Linked DNA regions of Caenorhabditis elegans. The protein of the gene in region 2 purifies or fractionates together with the protein of the main gene of each other region. This does not show direct contact. Each region holds a gene or a part of one and is shown on either strand. Other genes may lie near its edges.

Region 1 (6,845 bases), on a different chromosome or scaffold from region 2:
AGGCATTCTCATGATCTGATGGTTTCGTAATAGAAGTTACAGTAATCTTCAAAGGCACTCGTTTCCATTTAACAAAATATCGTCGTGGCGAGACCTGAAGCCGTATTTTAAGAAAAGAAATCACGACATTTTGCACTTGAGTAATAGATAACCTTTTCAATATTACAGAGGATTCACAGTCGAATTTCCCACCAAAAATGGAGTTGCTCTTCATATATCGGTTCGAATGGGTTCATATGGTCAAAATGTGATTGTATTTAATCATTTACAAAGAGGAAGATGGCATCGAGAAGAACATCATCAGAATACAATCATGTTTGGCCGACCATTTTGTATGAGAATTCATAATGAGCACAGAAAATATTCGGTTGGTTCTTCTATTGTTCTGTAATCCACAGGGTCTCATTTGAGGCAAACTCGGCCGTGTGGATTTACGAGATGGTCTCAAAAACGTTCAAAAACTCTCCCGGCTTCTCATCCATGTTCGAGTAATAACGTCGATCAGAGCCATATTCAGTAGACGTTTAAAAATGAGAATTTCGCCACATCTTACACGCAGGGGTCTCGCCACGCGAAGTGACTGTATATCGTGTCGAGCTGCTCGTAAATTGACACGAGCTACAGTAACTCGGTTTCAGCGTGGCGAGACCCATGCGCGTAAAATATGATGAAATTCGCAACTGTAGATGCCTACGTAATAAAACAAATTTAGAAGTTCTAAGTAGATTTTCTTTTTCGTAAATATTGTGAATACATATTACCTTTTTGCGTAAAAAAACAATTTTCAACCCAAAATCAAGATATCGGGTCCTGAAACTTCTCAGCTACCGTACCCACGAGTGTGAAAGACTTTATGTTAAAACCTAATTTCTCTAATTATTTGAGTTTAGAATATCAGATTATTGAACACAGATAGTTTTTTTTTATTCAAACAATATTCTCGTAAAAACAATCAATTTAATTCCAGATCCACGTGGACGGACATCACATCGGACATTATCATCATCATAAATGCCCAAAACGAATCGTTGCAATGACTGTTCGAGGAGATCTTCGAGTTGGAAAAATTCATTTCGAAAACTTCAAACATCATAACGGAGGAGGTTGGTTTTTATCTTAATATTCTGGGGATTTTTTTTTGTTTTTTGATTTCCAATCTTAATAATTCTAGGTACTGAAATCGGTGTAATGCAAATGCCTGTTGCTCCAACTCCGATCGTTGTTGCTCAACCACCGCCTCCAATGATTGTTCCCCAACCACAGATTGTTCCGGTTGTTCAGCAAATTATGCAACCAATGGTTCAACCCATATATCCAAGTGTTCAACCAATCGTGTATCCAACTGCTACTCCAATCATCTATACTCAACCTGAAGTTATCTACATGGACGGTTATCATCACCACCGTCACCATCACTATTGAAATTTGTACTTATTGTGAAAATGAATGAATAAATGAACATGACAAATTGATAGGGACGCACCGTTCATCTAATGTTCATAACTGAGACATGAATATTGAGCACTGCAGAAAAAGTTTGATGACAGAAACAAAAAAAAAAGTACATAGTACTACTGAATTTGAGTTGGTCAAGAGTCAAGAATGATTAAGGCTTTCAAGAATAAATGAATAAATGAAGAAAAAACAATATAACGAGCTAAAATGTGATGGGAACGGAAACAAGAGTTATGGAGGAGAAACAAGAAATAATATGAAGGGATGAGGAAGATTTAGAGAAGATATTACTTGGACTAGAAGATCATTTCTTATTTTTAACCATTTGAACGAGATACTTGAAACGACGAATGCAGGCTTTTTTGGACTTTGTGCCAACTTCTGTTGAGATCTTTTCCCACCGCTCGGGATCACTTGACTTATGCTTCTTGATAGCGTCCTCTAAAGTTTTCTGTTCGGTTGCTGACCAGACATCCTCATCTGGTAGCGCAGTTCCTAGCTGATTTTGAGTAGTTGATGGTAGCTTGACGTTCATCGTTTGAACAGCTTTGCATTGCTTGATAACCTGTTTTTCAGTTTTTGGTGGTAAACCCGTAGAATCCTTGCGATGCTCGTTAATGTAATCGGCAATTTGAACCCATCTCTCCACGGTTCCAGGTGGGAATGTGTTTGAAGCCTTTAAAAATATGAAAATTAATTAATGATTTCCAATCGTTTATGTCTTACCTTAACCAATAATTGAATCTCTTCACTAGTCCATGTCTCCTTGTCGGCTTGCTTTTCATTTTCTTTGTTCTTATCCTCAGTGATTGTGACCTTTGCTCCAGCAGCTTCTTTCTTCAGAATTTCAGCATCTGTTAGCGCAGTTTGAATTTCAGAAGCAATTGAAAGTGATTCGACCTTCTCGCACAGCTCTCTGAGTTGATCAACAGTGAACCCAATGCAAATCCGCTCAATTCTTTCCATTTCAGTGAGCTTATCGCGAGGATTCTCCGTCCAGTGGCCAGCTTCATCAGCGAGTTTCTTCAGACGCTTACGCTGCTGAGACATAGCTTTCTTGGCAATATCACGCTCTTTCTTTTCTCTCTCCTGAAAATAATAGTTAGTATTTAAAAATCGACAATATTCTGGTGTATTGTGCTCACTCTTTCTTCCTTTGCTTTTCTGTCAGCTTCCTCTTTCTGCTTAGCTTCGGCTTCTTCCTTTTCACGCTTCTCACGGTCGATAGCTTCTTGCTTTTCACGGATGGCTCTTTGCTTATCTTCCTTTGCTTTATCTTTTTTCTAAAATTTAAAATTGAAAATCCGGCAAAGTTTAGGCAAAGTTTATAGACTTACCGCTTGCTGTTCCTTCTTGAACTTGATAATTCTAGGATCCTTAGCATAAGCTATATCAACCAACTTTCTAATTCTCTTCGCCTCTTCTTTCCGCCGTCTTTCTCTTTCTGCCTTATTCTGTTTCTCCATCTCTCGTCTTTCGTACCGATCTTCTCCTCTTTCCTTGTCTTCTTCGTCCAAATACGAGAACTCGCGCCATGACTGGAAGTTAAACCAAAAATCGTAGAAATTCTCGACATCCTCCCGGGTCGCATCTGATTTACCAAGTTCTGGCACTGGCTTGATATTGGACCATCTGGAGTTTAATTGGAAAACTGGAGCAAGTTCGTTATAAAAGTTATTATGGTTGATTGATTTCTCATTTGGAATAATATCGTTGAATTTATGATCGACCGAATCGAAAGCTTGACGTTTGACGTCAGACATTCCAACTTGTTCATAAGCTTTTGTGATACAAGTAAAGTATTCTTCCTTCTCCATAACAATTCCACGATGCTTCTTCTTGTCCGGGTGATGCTTCAAAACCTTTTGACGATCTGAAATAATTCTCTTCAAAAAATTCTCACTTCATTTTAACTTACAACAGAAACGAATTTCGTCAGATGTAGCTTGCCATCTGAGCTTCGACAATCCTAAAACTTTGTAGTGATCCTGATTTTTGCAGTCATTTGGATCCAGCTTCATCAAGTACTTTTCATATTTTTCATTATCAGCATCAAAAAGATCTTTTCTCAATTCAGCTGGCTCTTCAGACGACTTTTTTCTTTGCTGTTCCGTAACAGGCTTTGCAACAGGAGAGTTTTTATAGATTGGAAGCGTACAGTGGCCCAGTGTGAGTTTATCTCGAATAAGGCGAGTCTGAAAATGTCAGTTAAGAAATATTTGCGGACATAGGTGATAGTAAACTCACTTCATAGCATATTCCGGCTGGCTCAAAAGCTCTGCTTCGAGCTGTGAATCCATAAATTGCAACTTGTAAATTGCCCGTAGTCATCTATAATTATTAAATTATTTTGAGCCTACTTTAGTCCTAAAACGAAATAAAAGAACATAATCAGCCTAGAAATTTCTGTTTTCTTTTTAAATCGCGTGACCACAGTTGTTCATAAAAGATTTTCAGCAACGAAAGAGAAGAAAAAGGGACATAATCTGAGAAATAAAGCTGAAAAACTACTGAAAATAATTGCGGGGGATTTACGAAAGAAGAAATCGTGCCATGGTTGCAAAATGTCGAGTGCGGCGCGGTTTTAACCGAGTCACAACATAAATTATGGAGACGGAGACACAATGCAAACGCGCTTCGCTGGTCTTTTTTGTTTTTTTTTCTTGTAACTTAAAATGGAAACCTGGAGTGATTTGGATTCATTTTAATTGTTTTTCAGCTTTGTAAGCTCCGCTTTGTACGCGATTGTATGAAATAAAACATGTTATAATTTCAAGTTATATCCAAAATAAGGTTTTCAGATGTCAGAGTCATCGTCAAACTTGAATCCAGATGGAACTGAGTTTCCAGACCCTAATGACGTGCCACCACCATCGGAAGATCAATTGACTGAAGAGGTATGCTGAAATATTACATTTGTAAAAATTATTAACAATCTCCATGTTCAGGATCTATTCCGGATGCGTTCTCTGACAATCAATTCGAAAAAAGGACGTAAGTTTTTTTTCATCGCTTGAAGTTGTTTGGAAAGATAATTATTTTTAAAATATTTAATATTTTTTTAGTTTCAGTTGTTGGTGGTGCAAGTGAGACAGCCGAGCAGTCCATCATATCACTCGCAGATTCGACTTCAAATTTTGATGAGCATGTTGGAGATGATGCCGAGTTGGATTATGAGCTGGAACAAGCTCCTGAAGCAACAGAAGATGGTGCAGTGGTGAACAATCCTGTTTGTGGAGGGTACCATTTCGGAAGGAAAAGAGCAGATGACTTCGTCCCAAATGCCAATACAGGTTTCTTAAAACTCCAGTTCGATGTAACACTGATATCTATATTCTATAATTACAGTAACAGTGCTCAAATGGCCTACAAATCTGGCGATTCCTCCACGCAACCCCGTGCTGAGCGATTCTGATGAAGAATGGAAGAAAGCGATTCTCGACTCCACCATTTATCTCATCGGTACAGCTCACTTTTCAAAAGAGTCGCAGGAAGACGTATCCAACACAATTCGTGCTGTGCAACCTGATTTTGTCATGCTTGAGCTGTGTCCATCACGAATTTCAATCATATCGATGGATGAGGCTCGGCTTTTGAGCGAAGCGAAAGATCTCAACTCTCAAAAAATTATTCAGACCATGAAACAAGTGAGTTCTCATATTTTTGTTGTTGTAATGTTGTAATATTTTCAACTTTTTTAAGAACGGCGCGATTCAAGGAATTCTGCACGTTCTTCTCCTGTCAATGTCAGCGCATGTAACACGTGAACTTTCCATGGCTCCCGGAGGAGAATTCCGTGCTGCTCATCGTGCAGCAGTTGCAACTGAGGTTTGAGTATTTAAAAAGTTTTATTTACAAAGTAACTATTTCAGAATTGTCGTGTAGTTCTCGGTGATCGTCCTATTCAAGTTACACTTCAACGTGCACTGGCTTCTCTCTCCATCTGGCAAAAAATTCGCTTCTTCTTCCACGTTGCATTTTCACATCGTGAGAAGATAACTGCAGAAGAGGTATTTAATTATTCAACCTTTTCCAAAAATATTCCAAAATTATAGGTGGAACGATGCAAGCAACGTGACCTTCTGGAGCAACTTCTCGCCGAGATGGCTGATGATTTCCCACAACTATCCCAAATCTTTGTGGAAGAGCGTGATGCCTACATGACGCATGCTTTGCATATGCTCGTACACCGGAACTCAGTCGAAAAACGTGCACAATGGCTTCGTGGAACAACTGGGCAACAATTTCAACCGTTGACAGTTGTTGCTGTCGTTGGAATCGGACATACTCCAGGAATTGTTAACAAATGGAATACAAATATTGATTTTGATCCACTTATGAACATCCCACCACCAAGCCTCGGAACAAAGGTAAATTAATCTGAAGTTATTTTAATTCTTTCATTTCTTTATTTCCAGGTTTTCTCCACTGGCGTCCGTATTGTTGTCTGGGGATCTTTGGGATATTTGGCTTATCGTGGAGGACGTGCTATCTTCAATCGTGTTAGCACATTCATAGAGTCTCGTTGGTAGGTTGGAAATTTTTGTTTAAAATTTAGTTTTGGGAATGTTGAAATTAAACGATGAAATTAAACGTGAATTTTGCAAAATCAAGGTCGCACAGAGAGAGGCAGCGCGTAGTTTTGCAAGCCTGTGGCATTGTTTTCCACCGTTTTTTGGTGGTTTTTTTTCGATAAGTTCTCAATTTTACTGGTTTCACTATTTTTTCTAATGAAAATGTTACCTAATTCAATTCTCATACGATTATGAGGAAATTTCATGTTAGATTTGTTGTAAAAACGAAGTATTCTCACAATCTTATGGGAATTGAATTAGATACATAATATTTTTATTCAAAAAAAAAGAAGGAAAAACCGTACCACAGGGATGAGAAATTACGCGAATTACCAACTCCCCATTCAAAGAATGAAATAATAGCAAACCTAATCTCATTTTCGTGCTTCTCCCGTCTTCTCTCGTTATTAGCTTTTCTGGTATCACCTGCTCCGCACAAGTTACCCATGACAACCAACCCACTAACTCGTATATCTTTTCAGAACAACTCATTGATTGAAGCGGGCACAACAGCATAGCAGCCGTCTACATTCGATCTACAGGCGTTTTCATCGTTATTTTGTTCTTTCCTAAAATGTTTATGTCTAATTATTGGACTTTTAATCGCTTTTTCTTGTAATGTGATACGATTTCTAGGGTGTAGATAGGTTGAGAATTGAAACAAAATTTTTCTTCTCCCATTTTTTTCTAAACTATCCTTTTCTGTTAAATGCCCAAACAAATTGCAATTTATTTATTAGTCCCACCCGCTTCTTCCGTTTATCGATTGATTTATTCTCGTTTTCTTTGTAAAATACACAAATAATTTAAATTATT
Region 2 (6,230 bases):
AGGAATATGACAATAAAAAAAAGCTGCTAGATTGAAATGTTTGCACGATTTCCAATGATATCCTCGGTACAATTTTTGGTACAATTCCTTTTCTACCCGGATTTTTTTAGAATACTCAAAACATTGAATTATTCAAATTTAAGTTTCACATGTGTTTATTTTAATACTATTTTCATTTTTAGGCATAAAATACAATAAAAATAGCCTAAAATGCAGAAAAAACACCTGATTTTGTACTACGAATTAAAAATTAATCTTCATACTATATTCTAGATATGAACAAATGTATGAATTTAATTTTTGAAAATATATAGGTCACGATTGTAGTTTGTTCTCAAGTAGTTCTAGTAAATTTCCGTTGTTTTCTATTGATGGGATATCGAGTTGGAGTTGGTGAAGGGATACCATTGGGTACTGTAGTAATATTGTGGTAGTAAGAGTTTTCAGATTATATTTCTAGAAATTTATTCACTATGAAATGATCAGAACTTATGAACATTTGACTCTAGATATTTAAAAAAAACACGATATGATCTCTTGCTCTCTGGTAAAAAATCCAGAAACATTAAAAGTATTTGCCGGTTTTTTTCTATTCTGCTGTAATCATGAATAGGGATCGCTAGATAGATCGTAGTCAGTCCACAATGGCCCCCGAAATGTGAGTTTTGCCTTTCGGCCGGCACCCCCATAGGACCGTCACCAGGGTGTTAAGGCTGGTGAACTAAAAATTTCGGGATTTTGCCATACGGCGGGTATCCCTTATCACCCCGGTGTGTGGACAACTCCCCACACTGAAGGAGTTGAACCACCAGTCAGTGCCCCACTGAAGGATAACCGAACCAACTCTGACTTCGTGCCTCGGTACTTACCGTTACTAATCCCTATAATTTCTCACTATCAGTATTCTTTTCATAAGATTATTGATCCGTTTTCCAAAAAACAAGATCTCTGTAGTCACCGACTTTCCAAAACACGTAAAAGATCAACGCAGTGAAATATCTGAATGCGGAATTCGTAGTTAAACAGTATTTGCCCAAAAAACGTCTTTGTCAGATTTAGAAAAAAATCGATTTTCTTAATTTGATATCTTACCTAACCGCTTTTGAAATCTCCGAGGAGTGTTTCAAATCACACATGAACTCCTCTACATTTGCACCATGATCCTTTAATATCTGAGCAACAAGCCCTATTTGCTTGAATCCATGAACTGCTACCACATTTGTTCCCTCTAAATAGTTTTCTCCAAGTTGTGCTCTTTGTTTAACATTTGCTCCGATGTAGAGGTTACCTACCATCTGGAATTGGTAACGTTTTTTAAAAATTCACTTACAATATCATAATAAAACTCTAAAACTTTGACAGATATCTAAATTTTAAATTCAAAATCCAACTTACCCTTTTAGAAATTCGAACAGCTAACATTTTTTAGTGTTGCAGCTGCAGACTTTTACGTTTTGTTCAAATTCGGCGAATCTGCTTCTTCACAACTAATCCAATTTCAATTTCAATTTCATTTTCTTCTTCTTCTTCTGCTTTTGCAGCTCCTCCTTCCTCTTTCTATTCATTACTCCCACTCCCGAAGGAGTCAATTTCAGAAAGAGCAGCAAGCTAATTATTTTCGTGCAACAAGAAAACGGGAGCACAAGCCAAGAAAACGTTTGTTTTATCTATCAAGTGTAGCAGAAGGAAAAAAGAAACAGAGTATACGAGTAGTACAACAATAAAACGGAAAACAGTAACAATAGAAATTGAAAACAAAAAATTTGGCAATTTAGTCGGTATGGAAGTTAGTGCTCATCTTCGGTGTGCTTCTTTCTTTTTCTTGGAATTTCTTCTTCATCTGCCTCCCCACCTTCAGCTCCTTCATTTTCCGGTTGTTGCTGCTCGCGGAGTCGCTTCAGACGTTTCTTTTCCTGGAACATGTGTCAATTTGAGGTTTATTCAAATAATTTTGACAATTTTGATAAAAGTGCAACCTTGTCAAGATGACACTTTCGGTAATGGGCATGTTTATAATATTATCACTCAATTTGAAGCTATGATAATAAATTGATAAACTTTTTGAAAAAAGTTAATCGAATTCAGGGAATCAAAATATTTTTTGTGCAAGAATAAAGTCAGGTATTTGATGTTTAGCACTAGATACTGTCGACCACGGGTGTCGGTTTTTCGATTTTTTGTGACTTACTCAAAGTATGTAACAAAAAATCGAAATTTTCGTTTTTTTTTCGATTTTTCGATATTTCGAAAAAATTTTCAATTAAAAAAAAATTAGCTTAAAATTTTGGTCATTTCCTTATTTTTTAAAGAAATTTTTACGTTCCTTCATCAATATAAGCTAAATTAGATTTTTTAAATCTTATTTTATGATTAATTTTCTGAACATTTTTTTCGACTTTAAGATTTTTCAGAAAATCGAAACATCGAACATTTTCGTTTTTCGATTTTCCCTCGAAATAATCGAAAAATCGAAAAAATCGAAAAACGACACCCTTGCTGTCAACCATATTTCTAAAAATAGCTTATCTACCTTTTTCAGTCGTTTACGTTCAGCTTCATCAAACTCTTCATCAATAATTTCTTCCTTAACTTCTTGTTTTACTTCCAGAATAGTTTCAACTGTTTCCAGAGTTTCTTCCTTATCTCTTTGTTCTCGTCTCAATCGTTTTCTCTCCTTTTTTTCGGCTTTTCGACGAGCTTTTTCTTCATCCGATTCTTCTTCCTCCACTTCAGTCTTTATTTCCATTTTCACTTCTGTCTGATTAGCAGCTGCAGCCTCCCGTTTTGCCTTCAAAGCAGCCATTTTTGCAGCGAAATAGTCACCGACGGATAGGGTGCTGACAGTGTTATTTCCCTCCTTTTTCTCTTGACTGTCAGCTTGGCTATCAGAACTATCAGATTTTACAGATGAATTTTCAGTTTTTTCTTCGATTTTCTCTTCGGCATTGTCAGATTTGAGTCTTCCATATCCAAGAATTCCTTTTTTGTGGCTATCGCTGTAGTTACTTGTATCCTTGGCGCGAGTGAATTTTTGATAACTAAAAATTGATATACTTATACTTTTTTAAAATGATGTTTCAAACTTACTGAATTCTTCTCCTAATCGATTTGCTTTTCAATTCAATGGAAATCTTCTCCGCAGCTGCATTCTTTTCTTCTTCCGTTTGTTCTGGTTCCTGTTCTTTATTTTTGTTCAAAGCTGCCAAAAGATCGGCGAAATCGTCGTGATGAGAAATCCATGTAGAATCATAATCAGCCATTTTGTCAGCACCAAGTCCTCTTCCAGAAGTATTTGCCTTGAGCTTCACAGAGTCTGCGTTTCCTTGACGATTTCTTCCCAGGCCATCTCCTTCGGACCATCCCATTTTCTCCATAAGCTTTTTTGACAGTCTGTAAAATGTTGATGAAACCTGATTATTGATAGGAGAAAACTTACTTCTGATCGTCATTTTTCCATGTCAAATTTTGGGGATCAATACTAATTTTTTGTTTTCTCTTCGGCTCTGCCAAAATCGACATTTTCCAAAAGAATTGAAGCGTCGATAAACCCTAAAATCACAGGAATTGAAATATAATTAGAATGATTGTATAAATAAAATATTACAGTGTTCCGAACACTGGTAAAATCAATAATGTTAAAATAAATTGGAGCAAAGAAGACACTTTTATTTCAGACAGACAGATCAAATAAATTACAACGAAATCATACAGAAAATAGTCATCGAACCGTTTTAATGAGAATTTTACATTTTACAACACATTATTCTCCCAGTAATTCCAACACCCAAACTTCGCTCATTCCAATCATTTTCATGGGTGGTCCTTGATACAATGATCCTGCCATTACCATCAATTGACCTCCAAATGGAATCTCATAGAGTCCATAAAAGTATGGTAGAAGCCAATAAACTACTGGAATAACTACGTAGAATTGTCCTGCATGAGTGTGTCCAGATAAGACAATATCAATTTCTGATAATTCTTTCGGATGATCTACGATGAATTCTCGAATTGATGCCGGATTGTGTGCCATGACGATTTGAGAAGTATTTGATGGACATCGATGGATGGCTTTTGGTAGATCCATTTTAGTGTTCAAGATTCCAGATTTCGGACTTGAAATATCGTTTACTCCAGCCAAACAGACTCCTTTCAGCATTGTACTTCTGAAAAATATCACTGTTACTTCCAAGAAAAACTCAAAAACTTTGTAAAACTTACTCGTTTTCAAGAACATTAATACGGCCATTTTTGTAGAATCTTATCCATTCCTGAACGTCTCCATAATAATATTCATGATTGCCAGTTACGAAATAAGTAGGTGCGTGAGCAGGGAGTTGACTGAAAACAAAAATTGAAATTTTGTGAATCAAACTAATTCGCCTACAGAATTGGTCGAACTCTATCCTCGATTTCCGCAACAGGAGCATCTACCATATCTCCAACAATCAGAATAGCATCAACTGGATTTTCAAGCACTTTTTCGACAACTTGATTGATTTGTTCCGAATAAACACTTGCACCAGCGTGCAAATCAGAGATCACTGCCAATTTTAATCGATTTCCATCAGCAGTGAAGTTTTTTATTTTGATGGTCTTTTCTTTGACAACAATCCAATCGCGTGATATAAACATACTGACTGACAGAAGCAAGGTGATTATCATTGTGAATCTGAAAATAACATTTTTAATGATAAGTTCCGAAATGAGATGTTTTTTGTTACTTTATTTGAGATCTTCTTTTCCACATGAGATCGTTAAAATAAGGAACCTTTCCTATTATTTCCAAAATCGAAGCGGTGTAATGGAACATCTGAGAAAATTTTTTTAAAATAATTTAAATATTATTGAAATTAATATTACCTTCATTTTTCCAGCATAGAAATTAACAATCCCAAATCCACATACGAATGCAATCATGTTAGTCCATATTCCCGCGCAGATTGAGGTGAGATCGAAGAGAAGCCACTGAAATGCAAGAGACTCTTTTAACAGCAACACAATTTCTAAAAACAAACCTGGAGAAATGCTGGGGCATAATACATAAAATAAATCGCTTGTCCGAGAACTAGGAAAATAATAAGGCCATCCGAGCATCGTTTCCGGATTGTCTGAAATGAGAATAGGTCAGTTTTTGGTGAGAAGAAGATTTAATCGATTTGAAGAGAAAAATAGTTATGGTCTTTGAAATCGTAGCAGGAAAACAAAATAAATTTTTATTTAAAAGCAAATTCTTGTTTTGCTAACTTTTTCCAACAAGAATATTGCAATTTGTTGAAATTTCAGTGTCGAACGAAAAAAAAAGAAAATTTTGTTCAGCAACAACACTCCGCCTTGACACCTCTCGCGTTGTTTATCGTCATTGATGGGTCTCGCAACGCACGGCGCGTCTTCAAATTTGGGTTTTTTCTGTTTTCCTCCATCTTCCGAATATTATTGATTTCTCTCACGTATTGATCAAAAATTGTTCTGGTTAACGTTTGTATTGCAGCGTTCTTAAAAACCGATAAAATTTAGATTTAGAACAGAAAAGAATCAGTTTTTTACGATGGCAACAAAATATCATTCATTATTCTTATAATTAACACTTTTCGTAGCTTTTCTCGTAATCAAAGTCATCATTTACAGATCTAAGCAATCGAAAATCTTGATTCGTCCAGGCAGGTCCTGTAGAAATGAACCCGGTTTGTAAAATAAGAAATCGATATTATATTAAACTAACATTTGCAGACAAACTACGATCCCCGTATCGGCCAACCGGCACAAAGTCGACCACAAGTATCCCTGAGTATGGGAAGACGAATTGTTCAAATGCCTACAGGTCTTCCTCGTTCATACCAAGATGAGAGTCACAATGAACCTGTGGGCTGGGATGAACCTTCGGGAGTTGGAGGATCTAGTGGAGCAGGAGGTCAACAATCTGACAAACCAACCGGACTCAGACATTTTTCCACGAAAGTTTGTGAAAAGGTGAAAGAAAAAGGATTGACGAATTACAATGAAGTGGCTGATGAACTGGTAGCAGATTACTTTCAAAATAATCTTATCAAGCAGATTGATGTTGTGGTAAGAAGTTTGTTTTTCTTCTTTTGAAAAAAAACTTTTTTTTTCTAGAAACAAGAATACGATATGAAAAATATTCGGAGGAGAGTATACGATGCGTTGAACGTTCTTTTGGCAATGAATATCATCACAAAAAGCAAGAAAGATATCAGATGGATTGGACTTCC
Region 3 (7,086 bases), on a different chromosome or scaffold from region 2:
AAAGTGGCATCTCTCGTGAGGATATTATCAAAGTTTGCGAGCTTATCGAGGTAAGTATGTCTATTTGAATATTCCAATTATTTTAATTACCAACATTTATTACAGAATTCCGGTTTTGATTTCGTCGAACTGACAGGAGGAGCAATGGAAAGTGTTGTGAAGGAAGTTCAGAAACGACATAGTACTATCGCGCGGGAAGACTTTTTCCTAGATTTTGTACAATTCACTAGCAAAATATTCAAAGAAACGGTAGTCTATATAACCGGCCGCTGGCAAACTGCCAACGCAATGGTCACATCTGTGAATATGGGTTTAACGAGTGGAGTTGGACTTGGAAGATGGAGCTGCTCGGAGCCCGATTTCCCAAGAAAACTGATAGCTGGAGAGATTTTCTCGTGTCCTGATCTGAAGTTTGCTCCAAGTGAATTTTTAATCGCTAAGCATGCGGCTCATTTTCATATAAAGCAGATGTCAGAGCATATGTACGATTCACAAAACAGGTGAGCATTTTTTCTCAATTTGAGTCTTTGAGCCTACTTATTACAGCACTTCAACAACAGTTACGGATTTTACAGTGGAAGATGAAGCTAACAATTTCAAAAAGGCTTGTGGAGCCTACAAAACAGAGCTGGAACCAATTGGAGGATACGATCGATTTGCTGGAGTAATTAAATACGTTCCATTGAACAAATCTACCTAATAATTTAGTAAACTATTTTTTGTCAATTTTAATAAATAAATGCTTTCGAACTAACCAATTTCCGCAACATTGCGCATTGTGTGTTGGAATGCCCAAACGACGGCGTCGATGACTGTTCCAAGATCCTCTGGAGGCATTTCCATGAAAACCGGGAAGCACTCTTGAACCAAAGAAAGCACCAGCTCGAAGAAGTTGGTTCGATGCTCGGGGAACGCTTCCATATCCTTGTTGATCATGTCAATGCTGCATTGGAAAACCGCACTGAGGATGCTCGGCACTTGTGGACAGAGGAGAGACTGAAAAATAATTTGATAAAGTTATAATTTTTGAGAAATTTTCGAAATTTAAAAGTTAAGAGTTGAGACGAATTTGAAAATTTTTCTTCAAGCCCTAAATTATTTTTATTTTATTTTAATTTTTTCAAAATTTCAAAAGATAACTGACTCCAAGTTGTGTGACCAGAATGCTGAGCAAAGACAACACTTTCGGCTCTCTCGCCTGTGGCACATTCTTCTGGTAATCGAAGAGAACCGCATCGAACAATGGTGGAACTATACTGTCCAGAATGAGCTTGGCATCTCCGTTCTTTGAAATGAATGTCGATAGAAGGATGAGAATCTCTCGCTTCACAGCTCGCATCGTCTTTACCAATGGATTCTTCAAAGCCTCTTCGCCGGCGGTTGTCACTGCTCGGGACACCTTCTCGGATAGAATTCTAAAAAAATTAGGTTTACTAACAGAACTTCTTTTTTTTTTAATTCTCACTTGTAGAGGGATAGAAGATCACTGTAGATATTTCCGAGTTGGGTTACAAACGAAGATCCAATGGATTTGCAGGCGGCCACATTTGTTTTTAGTATATTCAGGACAGATTTGACCATCTGAAATTTGAATAAATATAAAAGCCAACCCCTTAAAATAAATTACCTCCGGCTCTTCGAGCACACTGTCGTTAGTGGATGCTGCTGCAATGATGTCGTTCCATGTGCGATTTGGGATATCCATAAGCTTCATGATCAGGTCTTCTTGCAGATTTCCATCTATCTGCGCAGAAATGATGTGTCCAACAGCCTCGTAGAATACGTGAACTTGTGCATGAGAAAGATCGCAGATGATTCCAGTCAAATTTTCGAGCATCTCTTCGACGAAAGGCTTATTCTCAGCTGGTTGGACGATGACGAAATGCCTCTTACATTTTATGGAAATCTTGATGAATGTATCACAAGCCATGTCCTGTACACCTTCATGAGTCTCGTGCATGAACTCGAAAAGCTTATTGATAACCGTCTTCAGGAACTTCCAGTGAGCTCGAAGGAATCTCGGGTACTGTCCGACAACATACATGATGTTTGACGCAATCACTGCCTTATTGTCCTTTCCACGTTTCTGTTCACAGAGCCCGAGTAAATCACGAATAACAAGAACAAGGAATCGCTTTTCGTCTTCTTCAACCATCGTTCCAGAAATCGAACCAACAGCCCAGCACAAACGATTCAAATTCTTCCACGAAAACTCTCCTCCGTTCACTTGTGATGCCAACTTTTCAGTCATCTTCACTTCAGTGTCCTTGTTGTCAAGATGAGTCAAATAGACAAGCGTTTCACGCATGTTACGGTACAAAGCAATCGAATCAGTATCTTTGACCATTTCACGAACAACTTCTCCTTGATCATTTTCCACAATCAACACCTCTTCTGGCTTTGCCATTCGAGAAATCATTGTTGAACGAAGTTGCGAGAGGTATTCACGGTAGAGTTGACGACGTGGATGCTCACGAACCTGACTCATCATTCCGTAAAGAGTACTTGGCTGAATGAATGGACATATACGGTAGAGCTCAGCAGTCAACCAGCACCAACAATCGAGGCAAACTTTGAAAACCTCCATTTCTTCGATCAAAGTGATTTTCAAAAGAAGTTGAATAGCATAGTCGTGAGATTCTCGCATTAAAATTTTAGCCTCAGTTAATGGCTCATCAGTTACTTCAATCAGATGAACGTGCTCTTTGATGAACGCGACAAGAAATTGAGCCAGACTACTGATGAGTTTCTGATCCTGATCGGAAGCATCTTTGTAGACAGCAGCCAGGTCGAGGTCCAAAGATAGAACTTGGCTAATGTGGCGCATTGTAGAGCAGAACATTTTGACAAGCTTTTCGTCGTAGCTGGGATCGTTGGTTTCAACTTGAATTTGTGAAATTTCCGTGAGACATTGAAGAGCGATGACACGATACACTTCAAGCGAAAGGAAGTTTTCAGACAGCAATTCCGTGATGTTTGTCTCGAAAACGTAGCCAACTGGAATCCAGGTGAGGAATCGTTGAAGAGTCTTCAAGGTAGCTTGAACCATAGAGTTGGATGGACATTTCTCGAGAATGCTGACACACAGTGTGAATACTTCTTGGAACTGTCCACAGAATTGTTGTTTCAGATGTTGTTCCTTGGCTTGGGTGAGGTTTTGGGATCCGAAATCAAATACTTCTTCGCTGAAAAATATAATAAATGTAGCAAAACATTTTAAAACTAATTCAAAATACCTCAACAAGCTCAGAATATTCATATTGTTGATGCAAACGGTCTCGTTGTTCTTCGATGAATCAACAATATCGGTGATGAATGTTGGCCATGCCTTTGGCCAATCTTGTTTGACAATTTGAACCAAAACGAGGTTCAACTTGTGAAGAAGCAGTTGACTTTGTTCCATGACACTCTGATCAGAAGACAATTCGAACATTTTGGTGATGATGTACGACTTGATTCCTTCACGTTGGACTTGTGGCAACGACTTCCATTTGTGTTGGATGACAGTCTCAAGGATTTGAAGTGCAAAATACTTGGACTCATTTAGCTGCGAATATTGAAGAATCGCATCGACTTTGGTCCACGAATCGCGTTCTTCCTTGAGCGACATGAGGATTTGGTTAGCCTCGGCCTGTTCTTTTCCGCTCATTCGATTCATAATCTCGACGACTTGATCCAAAAGAGTCACATCGATACGGTCACCTTGGGCGAATTGACGCTTCGCTTCAGAGAGCACTTCCATTGCTGAGACAGCCATGTTTTTTTATTGTCGGTTTCTGAAATTGATAGCATTTATTGACCAACACTATAAATATAAAATAACTTACCAGCGATCAAATTTCGCAAAAATCGGCAGTAGTTTCCAGTTCAGTCTCACACACTCACGCACACACAAAACTGGCGGGGTTCAGGCTCTCGCTTTTCGGGCAGAAATCCTGTGTTTCTCACAGTGAAGCTGGAAAATTAGGCCAAAATATCGTTTCACTCGCACACACACTCTCACGCTCTCTCACACAACCGACTGTTGACGATGGGACGATCGATCTAGCCCAGTTCTGAAAATAAGAAAATTATTTTTAAATTTGCAAACCAAAAGGTGTAGAAAATATATGTCAAGAGAGGGAAAAAATATTGACCTAAAGTTTGACAGAAATAAATTCAGAAACGGAAATTGGAGATGGGAGAAGACGAGAGATATTTCTTTCATCATCGTCACTTTTGACAGTCAAATGTTTCGAAATTACTGGATTGATAAGGATCTATTCAAGACTAGGAAGTGAGAAATGCTGAATGCAAAAGTTCGGCCAAACAAATCTCACTGCGAAAAATATTGTGTGCGACCTTGCTGAATTGGGACAGAGCGCGCGATGTTATTGTAAGCAACGGTAAAAAATCGATTGAGGACACCTCGATGAGTGCACCCGTCCCGCTTTGTCTTGTCACGTGATGTGCATGACTTGCGCCCTCTCTTTACGTTCGGAAAACATTGAAAACAAAGCGTAGGAGCTATTGAGGAGGGGTCATGTGATTTTTTTTCGCATGTTTACTTGTTTGCAGATACATGAAGACAGGAGAAGAAATTGAGAAACGGAAGGACCATTCTGAATATTTTTGGCCGAGACGCGCGTCGAAAATGTCGAAATGAGAAAGATTGAATGAAAATAGAAGCAACAAAATCGCCGCACGTGACACACTACACACCTATTATTTGCTATGAGAACGGAAAAAAAACAGCGGTGAAGCAGATTTTACGTGTGAGAGACAAAAAACGGAAGAAGTGGGAGAAATCGTCGGATTCATGCTCAGCGGCCATCCCAGTTTTTATCACAAGACACGCGCCGGCGCGCGCGGGGAAAGTCTCCTCGCGGCCTTTCCTGTTCGAATTCATCGCAGACGCAAAAGAGTACGATGGAGCGCATTTGACAAAAACTTTCGCGGCTGTTGGGTACTCGCGGACCTGATATTTCTGTGTTTGGTGAGAACGGAAACAACGAGTAAAATGTATTTTACTTACTTTTCGAAAGTAGATATTCACAAAAATAAAATGTGCTGTTAAATTTTTAAGTACATCTTAACGAATTATTTCGAAAATAATTTGATTGCGAAATTAAATTCATGTTTATACGCTGTTGTTTTCATCGTTCTTGTGATTTTCAGAAGAAAAATGAAGCCAAACTTGAGAACAAAGCAAGAAAAAATGTTGATAATTTTCGCTAAATAAAATTATTTCCCTTGAAATAAAAATTGGCGTCTAAACTTATCGGGAAACAAATAAAATGTTGAAAAGAAGGCAACCAAAAGTGAGGAATATTTGAAAAAAACAACCGTATCACCTATTTCGCTTCGAGACCTGTGAACGGTTTTCTTTGCATGCGCCTTTAAGATTATGATAGAAAACATTATTTTTGTTTTTGTTTTCAGTACTGCAGTTTTATGGATTCAATTGACAACTCCACAACAATAATAAGGAAGAATTTGAACCGATTCATACGAGAAGTGAGTTTTGGAACTAAAAAACAAAATTATGCGAAAGTTTTCAGCTGACAGATGATGGAAAGTTGGACTTTGAATCAATACCATATCAAAATTTGCAAAAAGAAGTGGCAAATCAGGACGAAGAAGGCTGCGAGAATGTGATAGAAGTATTGCTGGATACTACAAGCGTAAGATTCAAGATTAACATTAGAATTAATTAATTAAAACATTTTAAGAGATCAGGATGTCCCGATAGGAAACTAATTCTGCAACTGTTCAATAGCTTCTTCTTACAATTTCCAATATTTCGGGAAAATCTACTCAATGATCCATCAGTGAGTTTTGTGAAAGCTTAAATTAAACTAAAAAATTAAATTTCTCTAGGAATTTCTCGAATTAATGTTCGAAACAAACCCAATTCGTAACCCACTCCCTGGTTCGAAAAAACATGGAAATGAGCTGAAAGTCGAAGCGATAACAGTGATTAAAAGCTGGGAAAAGGAGAAGTGTGTGAAGAACGATGCAAGAATGAAATGTTTGGTGGTGACGTTGAAGAAGACAAAATTTGTAGACTATGAAAATGGAGCTAAGAAAATTGAAGCGGAAAGAAAACGAAAAAAGATTTTGGAAGAAAGAAAAATGAAAATGATTGAGAATGTAGGTTGGATATTTAACACATATTTAAAGAAATGTTAAAACTTTCCAGTCAGTCAACGTCTATTCTTCAAAATACCACGAGATAAAAAACGATGCGGAGACACTGTCAATGGAACTCACAACTACAATGCAAATGCTTGTTCCATCATTCACTACAGCAGATCCTGAAGTTCCCAGCACATCAACTTCAACACCTTCTGCAATTTCGGACTCAAAAAGTTTCGAGATTTTCATTCCGGATTTGACTCCAGAAATCTCTGTTTCCTCGGAAAATGATGCTATTGTTGAGGCGTTTCTTGGTGCAAAACTTTCGTTGATTCATCGAGTTCAGACGCTCCGAAAGTAAGTATTTGAAATTAAAATAAAAACTAAACAAATGTTATATTAAAATTCGAAACCTCATTCAAAATTGAAATAATTTTTCTTTCAGACTAGTAAAACGACTACAACTGTTAAAACAACCTGGAGAAAAACTTGCCCAAGAAATTATAGATTATAGAGATGGTATCAAGAATTTAGTGCTGAAAGCCGATGAGTTGAGAATTATAAATCCACGACCTCCAAAGAATAAACGAAAAAAGTCTGATGACGATTTTATCGACGTGGATATTTCGATCGATGACATACTTATGGTTCAATATGCTGAAAAGTTGGAGGTAGATGTCAAATCGAAAGATGAATCGGAAAAAATCACTGAAAGCCCCGAAAAACACAAAATTGAAATGAAAAACGAGAAACCTGTAAAAATCAAGACGGTACCATTCGGGCTTGACCTAAAATACTGGGGAGAGGAGAGAAAAGATGTTGAAGTTCCGAAAAACAATGCAGATTGCCATAGATTCTGGAGGTCGGCCGATGAAGGGTAATATTGCAGTTCATGCTTTGTAAACTTTGAATCAAATTCTTTTTTTAGAACTGTTGCTGGGAAAGCACAACAAAGCATCTACACTCAAC
Region 4 (9,589 bases), on a different chromosome or scaffold from region 2:
AGGCCATCGAAAACTCATCCAAGTGCTCACAATTCAGGCTTCGGTGCCGATTTTCCTAGTGTTTCCGCCAATTACACTTTATGGACTATATCACCTTGAATTTATTAATTTGACGGTTGCCGAGTATTTGGTTTACACAATTTTTAGGTAAAAATTTACATTTTTCTCCTAAATTTTACCAAAAAAATTTTTTTATAATTTTTTTTTTTAACTTTTATATTTTGACCATTTAAATCGTCCAAAAAGTGTTAAATCTGTATTCAGCTAGCTAAGAGCTTCAATTTAAGTATAATCATGACTAGGTTTCCTTCACTTTGGGTCCCACAGCGAAAATGCAAAGGGTACTGTAGATTTTCGCTGCGAGACCCAAAGTGAAGGGAACCTAGGCGTGATTATACTTAAATGAAAGCTCTCGTTGTGCTGAATTTGAATTTAAGGTTGGAAATTGCTAAAAATCAACATTTTTAGAAAAATTTAGAAAAAAAAATTAGAATTTTTTTCAATTTTTTTTCAAAATTTCAAAATTCAAAATTGCTCCAATTTTCAGCGTAATCCCCCTTATCCAACCAATTATCACAATATACTACATAAAACCGTATAACCATGGTTTCCGACGTCTATTCTGCCGCTGGATGGTCCGGCCAATTCCTACGAAATCTCTGACTACTGTATATGGGGAACGCGAGACGCGATACTCGTCGACGAGATATGATTGATTTTTTCTTAATTAACCCTTTTTTTAATGTTTTAATAAATAATAAAATTTGAAAATAAAAATTAAAAAAGTCGAAATTTTTTTGTACTTTTTCAAAAAAATTTTTTTTGAAATTTTGAGTTTCAACTTCAAAAAAGAACAATAAAACCTATTAAGGCAAACTGATAAAGTTGAAAACCGCCCCCGTGGGTCGAACCCCGGTCTTCTCAGTCTCACCGAGACCTCTACCCAGTTGAGCCACCACGTCCCATTTTTCAAAAATGACCCGATATTGGCATCAAATTATCTAAAAATTAAGCGAGAAATTCAAAAATTTGAATGAAAATTCATGAAAATCACATTTTCATTTACTTTTTGGACATTTTTCCGCAAAAAAATGACACAAAACCCAAACTATTCGAGATTATTTCTAATTTCTAACAAATTTCGGTCAACTTCCGCTAGATAATAGTATCAACCAAGAAAAAAATTATTCCCAGCACGCGGGGTCGAACCCCGGTCTTCTGCGTCCCAGCCCAGCCCGTTGCCGCCTGCGCTACTGCAACCAATTTTTCGAAAAATCCTCGGAAATGAGCCAATATTGGTGTCAAATAAACGAAAATTGTGCGAGAAATTTGAACATGTGCATGGAAATTTGTAAAAATCATGTTTTCAAAAACTGTTCCGCATTTTTCCGAAAAAAAACTGATTTTTTTCAAGTTTCACTAGTTTCCAGCAGGTTATACTCAGTTTCAGCTTGTTAACAGTATCAATCACGCTAAGATAAAGAAAATTCCCACCACGCGGAGTCGAACCCCGGTCTTCTGCGTCCCAGCCCAGCCCGTAACCGACTGCGCTACTGCGACCAATTTTTCAAAAATAAGAGAAAATCTGAATTTAGTCGAAAAAAATCAATAAATAAATAAAACTTCATCCCGGTTTCGCATTAGTTTTTTGAGAGAGAAAAAGAAGGAAAATCATAAAATATCTGGATTCGGAGAAGTAAATGAGGAAAAAAATCAATAATAACAGGTACATATACAAGTTTTAAGAGGAATTATGGGTGTAGAAACAGCGAAAAAAAATAAATAATTTATTTATCTCTGAGCTCCCGGAGCTCCGACCGCTTGGCTCATTCCCTCGCGTTCCTTATTGTCACGTGGCACTTTGATCCATTGTCCCTGAAGATTTTCGCGCCAAATTGTGATCTGCAAAATTGGAAAATGAGCGTTTTTAGGCGTAGGTGCCTGCCTGCCTGCAAACAGAGCTTATCATATGCTTTTTTTTGTAGAAACGGCACTTTTTTAAGAAGATTTGCCTACCTACCTGTAGGCACGGTAGGCACACGTGTAGGCATTAGGCAGGCGGGAACATTTCGTCTGGTTTTTCGTAATTCTAGGTCGAATTTTTCAGAATTTTCGTTGAAATTCAATTAATTCCGGTGATTTGATCGGAAAATTCGAATTTTTCGCCATTTTCAGTAAAATTACTGCAAATTCTGAATTTTTGAGTATTTTTTTTCCATTTATTCAGATTTTTCGTGCCAAAATGCTTTTTTTGCAAGTTTTCGGTAGCTTTTTCTCAAATTTTTCATAAAAATTGAAATTTTCATGTGCTGCTCAAAAATCGATACTTTTCAACCGAAATTCGCCGGTTTTTATGTAAAAAAAATTGATTTTGAAGTGATTTTGGCCAATTTTCCGGTAAAAAAAATTTTTTGTTTTCCCACTTTTTTGCCAGTTCTCAATAGATTTTTTTTTCCAAAATTTTGAATTTTCCAGGTTTTGCTCGAAAATTAATATTTTTAGCATTTTTCGATCAAAATCACCTGAAAAAATCGAATTTCAACGAAAATTCTGAAAAATTCTTCCTAAAATTACGAAAAACCGGGCAAAAAAGATAGAAGTTGTATTAAAACCAAAAAAAAAAAAAAAAAAAAAATCAAAATTTTCCTCACAAAAACCTGCCACCTGCCTCATGCCTACTGCGGCTAGAGGTAGGTAAGATTTTTTTCCGTTTTTTTTAATGCCAAAATGCTTTTTTTTTTCGCTATTTTTTCCAAATTTTTTCGAATTTTCTAGGTTTTGCTCGAAAAATCATAATTTTGAGCTAAAAAATCCAAAATTTCAGCGATTTTTGCTAAAAATGTGACAATTTTCCGTTTTTGAAGCGATGATTTTCGCTGTTTTTGTACACTTTTTTTTTTCAAAAATTGTGCCATTTTTGACGTAAAAAATCCATAATTTTCCCAATTTCGGTGCCAATTTCCACATTATTCCACACAAAAATCCTCGATTCCATACCACATTATCATCGCCAGCAACTGAAAGGAATGATCCACACGGAGAAAATGATGAATGGTACAATGCACACGGAGCCGTCTCCAATAATTTCGCCTTCCACTCTTCAGTTTCAATATTTGAAGTACGGAAAAGTACCAAATTTCCCTCCATTCCACAGCTAACAATTGTATGTTGTCCATTATTTGTTACCGGGCACCATGCGGCTTCACGTACAAAATCTGTGTGTCCGGCTAGGGTTTTCTCGAGAATCCATTCGTTTGTAGCGTCGTCACTGGAGGAAAAAATATTGGTGATTTCGAAGGAAAATTGTCATTAAGAAAATGAATTTTTCTTAGGAAACCCCAATAACACTGCAACTTTTTCCTCACGAGGGACGAGGAAAAGTGGTTTCTAGGCCATGGCCGAGGGGCCGACAAGTTTCAGCGGCCATTTATCTTGCTTTGTTTTCCGCGTGTTTTCTTTTGTTTTTCACAGCTTTTTCCCGTTTTTTCTTATTAAAACTGATAAATAAATATTTTTTGCAGATGCTAAAACAATTTCCAAGTTAAAAAATTATGTATCCAGTGGGCAAGCAGCGGTGAAAGTGGGCAATGTAAAATGATGGATTACGGGAATACAAAACCTAAACTTTTTCTGAAACATGATACATATGCTGCTTAAATGCTGAGACTACCTGATTTTCATAACGAGTCCGCTGAAAAAGTTTTGAGGTTTCCACAATTCAACTTTTTTGGTAAAAAAGTCGAGATTTTCGCACAAAAAATTGAATTTTGAAAACCTCAAAACTTTTTTAACGGTCTCGTTATGAAAATCAGGTAATTTCAGCATCTAAGCATCATATGTATCATGTTTCAGAAAAAGTTTAGGTTTTGTATTCCCGTAATCCATCATTTTACATTGCCCACTTTCACCGCTGCTTGCCCACTGAATACATTTTTTTTTTACTTGGAAATCGTTTTAGCATCTGCAAAAAATATTTATTTATCAGTTTTAATAAGAAAAAACGAAAAAAATCGATGAAAAACAAAAGAAAACAGGCGGAAAACAAAGCAAGATAAATGGCCGCTGAAACTTGTCGGCCCCTCGGCCATGGCCTAGAAACCACTTTTCCTCGTCCCTCGTGAGGAAAAAGTTGCAGTGAGAAACCCCAATAAATTCGACAAAATTCAGTGGGAAATCAGCTTTTGGGCAGCTTCAAAATTGGGATTTTCCAAAGCGAACCCAAATTTCTGCATTATAATGGGGAAATTTTTTTTTTTTTTTCGAATTTTCACCAACAATTTTGTTTGTAGCGCGTCGTCACTGTAAAAAAATGGGTAATTTCGCGGAAAAATTGTCAAAAAATGGATTTTTCAAGAGGAAATTCAGGAAATTCGACAAAAATTTCGAAAGAATATACTTTTTTTCTGATTTTTCAGCAAAAAAGATTAATAAAAATTTCCGATTTTGGGGGTTTTTTGAAATGAAACTGCGAAAAATCTGGAATTTGAGAATTTTTTGCAAAAAAAACAGCTTTTGGGACAAATTTTCAAGTTTAAATTATTTTTTGAGTGATTTTTTCAGTTTTTTTTTAATCAAAAAACCGAAAAATTGGATGTTTCAGGGGGAAAATCCAGGAAATTCGACAAATATCTGTTAAAAAATATCCAAAACCTGGAAATTTTGAATTTAACACGATAATCTGAAATTCGGGTAGAATTCGCTTTTACTTTTACAATTTTTTAGAAAGAAATTTATTAAATGGTCGGATTTTTAGTCTTTTTTGATGGAAAACTGTGAAAAAATGGGTTATTTCACGGAAAAATTGTCAAAAAAAAGGATTTTTCAAAGGAAACTCTAGAAAAATCTGGAACTTTGGCGAAAAATTTCCATTTTTTCTCGTTTTTCGCGTCGTCACTGGCAAAATAATGGGATTTTTCAGGTGAAAATTTAAGAAATTTGAGAATTTTCGGTGAAAAAATACGCTATTGGGTCGAATTTTTAACTTTAACATTGTAAATTTTGAGAATTTCAGAAAAAAAAACAATTTTTTCATTGATTTTTCAGAAGGAAATTTTTTTTAATTCTGGAATTCAGGCTTAGGCTAAGGCTTAGGCCTTAAAAAAAATCCGAATTTAATTTTTATTTTGCGAATTTTTTCATCCCAGAAAAACTGACTTTTTCAGGGGAAAAATCTCAGAAATTCTTGTGATTTTAGCAAAAAATCAGGTAATTTTGAGGGAAAAATTTGAATTTTTCAAAAATTTCCGGTAAGAACTGCACTAATTTGTGATTTTTAAACAAATTTTGGATCAAAAATACAACTTTTTTGGGAAAATTTCATAAAATCTGCCAATTTTGCTGAAAAAAAAGTAAAATTTTACGACTTTTTTTCCGAGAAGTTTTGGCAATTTGAGGCTTAGGCCTAGGCGTAGGCGTAGGCTTAAGCTTAGGCTTAGGCTTACAAAAAATCTGACTTTTGAGAACCTGAGAAAATTGCGGTTTTTGTATTTTCCATCGAAAAAACGTCAAAATTTCACGTTTTTCGGGTCAAAAAAAATCTAAAAAATCTAAAAAATCGATTTTCAGTGCATTTTCTCTACTCACAAAGCCCAAATCTTGACATTTTTATCATTTCCAGCTGAAACAAGACGTTTTTTTGCCGCCGGATCAGCACTTCCAGGTGCCCAACACACTGAATTAACTCCTTGTTCATGACATTTCTGAATTTTCGACGAAATCCATTCGTTGCTCGAATTGTCGTATCGAAGAATACCGATATCACCGTCAGCAGAGGCAGAAGCCAACATTAGGCCATATTGGTGTGGTGCAAAGGCCACACAAGTCGTACTGGCCTCATGAGCGGCCCATTCGTAGGCTTTTTGCCAGCGGCCTTGTTGTTCGTTCCAGATTATCACTTTTCTGGAAAGAAAATCGATTCATTTGGGGGAAAATTGGCTGAAAATCTGTGAAAATTGATGAAAAATGCCTGAAATTAGAGCAAAATGAGCTAAAAATTGCAAAAAACCCGTGAAAAACTACTGAAATTCATGGAAATTCCAGAAAAAAACGTTGGATTGGGGGGTAAATTGGCTCAAAATTCCGAAAAAAAAACTATGAAAATTGAATAAAATCGATAAAAATTACAAAAATCGGGGCAGAAATCGACTAAAATTCGGGAAAAAATTGCAGAAAATCGGTAAAAATTTCATAAAACCCGTTGAAGTTTTTAAAATTTTGGTGGATTTGAGGGAAATTAGGCTTGAAATTCAAAAAAAAACTGTGAAAATTGACCGAAAATACTGATTTTTCTTTAAATAATCCGTGAATTTAAAGGGAAAATAGCGTAAAATCGGTGAAAAATGATCAAACTCATTGAAATTTCAGAAATAGGCTGCATTTTTCAATATTTGTGTCCATTTTCTTCCAAAATCACTCTGTTTAACCAATTTTTGGCAAAAAACCCAAAAAATGAGCTGAAAACCGATTAAAAACAGAGATTTTAGCGTATTTTTATGAAATTCTGATCGAATCTAGCAAATTTTGATCATTTTTCCGTTTTTTTTTCCAAATATTCCGTACTTATCATAGGAAGCGGAGGCAAGAAGTCCTCCATATTTCGGATGAGCCCATGAGACTTTCCAAACGGGACCACTGTGTCCGACAAGCTCCGCCATCGGATATGACTGGCCATTTGGGCGAACCTGTAATATTTTTATATTTTTTTTTGCGTTGAAATTATGAAAATTCTGGGATTTTTGCAGAAAATCCAAGATTTTTCGCCTTTCCTGACCTCAAAAATCTTCACAAGACGGTCAGATCCACACGTGGCGAGTCGGCTTCCGTAGATGTTGAGCTGAGCGTCGTGCTGCAATTTTTCAGAATTTAAAAAAAAAAAATAGATTTTCTTAGCTAAAATTCAGATTTTCCGACTTACAATTGCGTCACGATGTTGTGTATCGATTCTCTGGCGGACCGTGGTCATTTTTCAGCTGAAAATCTAGAAATTTCGAAAAAAATCGCTAAAAATTGAGTGAATTTCGGCAAAAATTGAATTTAAAAATTGCAAGTTGGAACGATCGAGAAACGCGTCAACACGAGAAACGCGCCAGCAAACGATAGCTGGCGTGTTTCTCGTGCGCCAAGGAACGTGGATTTAATCACGAGAAAATAATAATTGATGGAAACCTGGAGAATTCGAATGGGAAATTGTTGATAATTTGATAAAAATAACAATTTCTAGTTCTACTTTTTAAGATTTTAAATCAAAAACAACTCAGGGAACCTTTCAACACAGATTAAAAGATCAAAGTTCTGAAAAACAACTTTCTTAATTATATTGTCCTTGTTTTTTCTTCTGTTTTGATTTTTTCTTCTGATCATCAATATCAACACGCCGTACTTTGAAGTCTGAAAAAAAGATTCAAATGAAAAAAAAACACATTATATTTTGTGCTTAGCCTCCGTGTGTCTTATTGCGGGTCGCGTGACGTCGTCAGCGCAATTTTTACGATCATTTCTTTCTGTCATGATCATCAGTTTGATTTTCTAGCGTGATTTGGAGGCGAAAATCAATAAATTATAATAGTTTTTCGCTTATTCCTGTTTTAAAACATGTTTTCTATATTTTTATTGAGAAACTTGAGATTTTTAAAAAGAAAACTTTAAAACCCGCTTGTATTTTTGCAATTATCTTATTTTTTTCAATTTCTTCGCTGAAATACTTGAAAAATTGCAATTTTTGCTGAAAATAATTCCAAAAAGTGTGCGCGGCAAGTAAAATGCATTGTACGCAATTGCGTATCAATGCATCTAACCCGACGCGCAGTTTCAAGGTTACTGTAGAACATTTTGTTTTTTTTTGTGTTTTCCCCAATTTCCAGCCGAAAAACTCGAATTTTATGTGTTTTCCAACGTTTTTTAAAATGTTTTTTTTTGTAAAAATTTTAGAAAGTCAGCAAAGTTAACGTTTCTATCGAAAAATCCAGTTAAAAATCAAAAAATTATCGATTTTTCGGATTAATTTGGAAATTCAATCGAAAATGAACTATTTGAGGAAATTCTGGCAGTTTTTGCGGAAAAAAATTGAAAATTGACAGAAAAGTCGATATTCTAACAGAGTTTTCACGCAAAATCTAAAAATGTTGAATTATTTTTCGATAGAATTTCGGGGTTTTAAAAATTTTTAGGACAAAAATCAATAATTTCCAGAATTTTTTTGAAAAAAGTTTCGAAAAATAATAGTTTCAAGAAGCATCAAAATCGTAAGTTTCAGTTTTTTTCAAATTTCCGATAAAAATCCCCAAAAAGTAAAAAAAAATTTTTTTTTGAAAAAATCTGTTATTTGTGCCGAAAAATCATTAAAGCAAATATAAGAAAACTATTATTTATCTAAATTCTTATAGAAAATCCAATTTTTTTTATAGAAAAATCAAATTTAAAGAAAAAAAAAATCAATAATTTCCCCCAAAAGAATCCTGCCACCCCAAAAATTATCAACAGAGCACAATTGCATCATATTCCATAAAAAATATCATTTGGCACACTGCCAAGTCTTCATCACACCAACATCTCTGCACTCTCCACATCTCTGAACCCCCTTCTTTCAGTGTCTGCGTCTCCACACCCTCTACACTCTCTCACCCTGGCTGAGGTCCTCTTTCTCTTCAATTCTGCACGTGCGGACTGCCCTTTTTATTGTTTTTCTCCTTTCTGCCACTTGATTTGATAGATAAATTATCAAAAAATCGATAATTTTAAATTTTTTGCGAGAAAGTTGGAAAATTCCAGAAATTTTCCAAAAAAATCCCTGTAAATTTGTTAAAGTACATAGTTTTTCCGAAGAAAATCGACAAATCTCGGAAATTCGAGGTTTTTAACCGAAAAACACTGCAACTTTTTCCTCACGAGGGACGAGGAATAGTGGTAGGGGCCGACAAGTTTCAGCGGTCATTTATCTTGCTTTGTTTTCCGCCTGTTTTCTTTTATTTTTTCACAGATTTTTCCCGTTTTTTTCTTATTAAAACTGATAAATAAATATTTTTTGCAGATGCTAAAACAATTTCCAAGTTAAAAAATTGTGTATTCAGTCGGCAAGTAGCGGTGAAAGTGGGCAATGCAATATGATGGATTACGGGAATACAAAACCTAAACTTTTTCTGAAACATGATACATATGCTGCTTAAATGCTGAAATTACCTGATTTTCATAACGAGACCGCTGAAAAAGTTTTGAGGTTTTCAAAATTCAATTTTTTGTGCGAAAATCTCGACTTTTTTACCAAAAAAGTTGAATTGTGGAAACCTCAAAACTTTTTCAGCGGTCTCGTTATGAAAATCAGGTAATTTCAGCATCTAAGCATCATATGTATCATGTTTCAGAAAAAGTTTAGGTTTTGTATTCCCGTAATCCATTATTTTACATTGACCACTTTCATCGCTGCTTGCCCACTGAATACATAATTTTTTTACATGGAAATTGTTTTAGCATCTGCAAAAAATATTTATTTATCAGTTTTATTAAGAAAAAACGAAAAAAATCGATGAAAAACGAAAGAAAACAGGCGGAAAACAAAGCAAGATAAATGGCCGCTGAAACTTGTCGGCCCCTCGGC

The links.
Region 1: the proteins of T23G7.3 (region 2) and dnj-11 fractionate together in Caenorhabditis elegans (co-fractionation; one large-scale study listed by BioGRID). This does not show direct contact.
Region 3: the proteins of T23G7.3 (region 2) and xpo-1 fractionate together in Caenorhabditis elegans (co-fractionation; one large-scale study listed by BioGRID). This does not show direct contact.
Region 4: the proteins of T23G7.3 (region 2) and npp-20 fractionate together in Caenorhabditis elegans (co-fractionation; one large-scale study listed by BioGRID). This does not show direct contact.

What each region holds. Positions count from the first base shown.
Region 1 is NC_003282.8:6,582,812-6,589,656, reverse strand, and holds dnj-11 (DnaJ homolog subfamily C member 2), read right to left. Parts: upstream 3,787-6,845; coding exon 3,703-3,786; intron 3,651-3,702; coding exon 3,374-3,650; intron 3,329-3,373; coding exon 2,793-3,328; intron 2,739-2,792; coding exon 2,601-2,738; intron 2,545-2,600; coding exon 2,182-2,544; intron 2,132-2,181; coding exon 1,760-2,131; 3' UTR 1,471-1,759; downstream 1-1,470. Other genes in the region: lec-11 (Galectin), read left to right, coding at 169-367, 968-1,103, 1,172-1,422; F38A5.2 (TraB domain-containing protein), read left to right, coding at 4,257-4,352, 4,404-4,449, 4,521-4,748, 4,804-5,102, 5,158-5,283, 5,328-5,465, 5,511-5,825, 5,874-5,983 and 1 more.
Region 2 is NC_003280.10:9,164,282-9,170,511, forward strand, and holds T23G7.3 (G-patch domain-containing protein), read right to left. Parts: upstream 3,550-6,230; 5' UTR 3,520-3,549; coding exon 3,437-3,519; intron 3,391-3,436; coding exon 3,088-3,390; intron 3,039-3,087; coding exon 2,531-3,038; intron 1,914-2,530; coding exon 1,788-1,913; 3' UTR 1,648-1,787; downstream 1-1,647. Other genes in the region: W07A12.8 (DapB_N domain-containing protein), read right to left, coding at 1,093-1,295, 1,396-1,422; T23G7.2 (Calcineurin-like phosphoesterase domain-containing protein), read right to left, coding at 3,761-4,166, 4,222-4,341, 4,388-4,672, 4,725-4,813, 4,864-4,968, 5,019-5,111; Transcription factor dpl-1, read left to right, coding at 5,676-5,684, 5,731-6,066, 6,115-6,230.
Region 3 is NC_003283.11:7,802,033-7,809,118, reverse strand, and holds the start of xpo-1 (Importin N-terminal domain-containing protein), read right to left. Parts: upstream 4,056-7,086; 5' UTR 3,828-4,055; intron 3,777-3,827; 5' UTR 3,758-3,776; coding exon 3,237-3,757; intron 3,186-3,236; coding exon 1,628-3,185; intron 1,582-1,627; coding exon 1,466-1,581; intron 1,416-1,465; coding exon 1,145-1,415; intron 997-1,144; coding exon 756-996; intron 753-755; exon of another isoform or gene 701-752; coding exon of another isoform or gene 547-700; intron 501-546; coding exon of another isoform or gene 106-500; intron 51-105; coding exon of another isoform or gene 1-50. Other genes in the region: ZK742.3 (NADH:flavin oxidoreductase/NADH oxidase N-terminal domain-containing protein), read left to right, coding at 1-50, 106-500, 547-700; uvs-1 (UV-stimulated scaffold protein A homolog), read left to right, coding at 5,434-5,496, 5,541-5,663, 5,712-5,810, 5,860-6,132, 6,182-6,474, 6,563-6,994, 7,046-7,086.
Region 4 is NC_003282.8:1,489,047-1,498,635, forward strand, and holds npp-20 (Protein SEC13 homolog), read right to left. Parts: upstream 6,977-9,589; 5' UTR 6,962-6,976; coding exon 6,914-6,961; intron 6,845-6,913; coding exon 6,770-6,844; intron 6,681-6,769; coding exon 6,559-6,680; intron 5,899-6,558; coding exon 5,584-5,898; intron 3,269-5,583; coding exon 2,998-3,268; intron 1,903-2,997; coding exon 1,792-1,902; 3' UTR 1,607-1,791; downstream 1-1,606. Other genes in the region: Y77E11A.16 (Serpentine Receptor, class D (Delta)), read left to right, coding at 1-147, 548-716.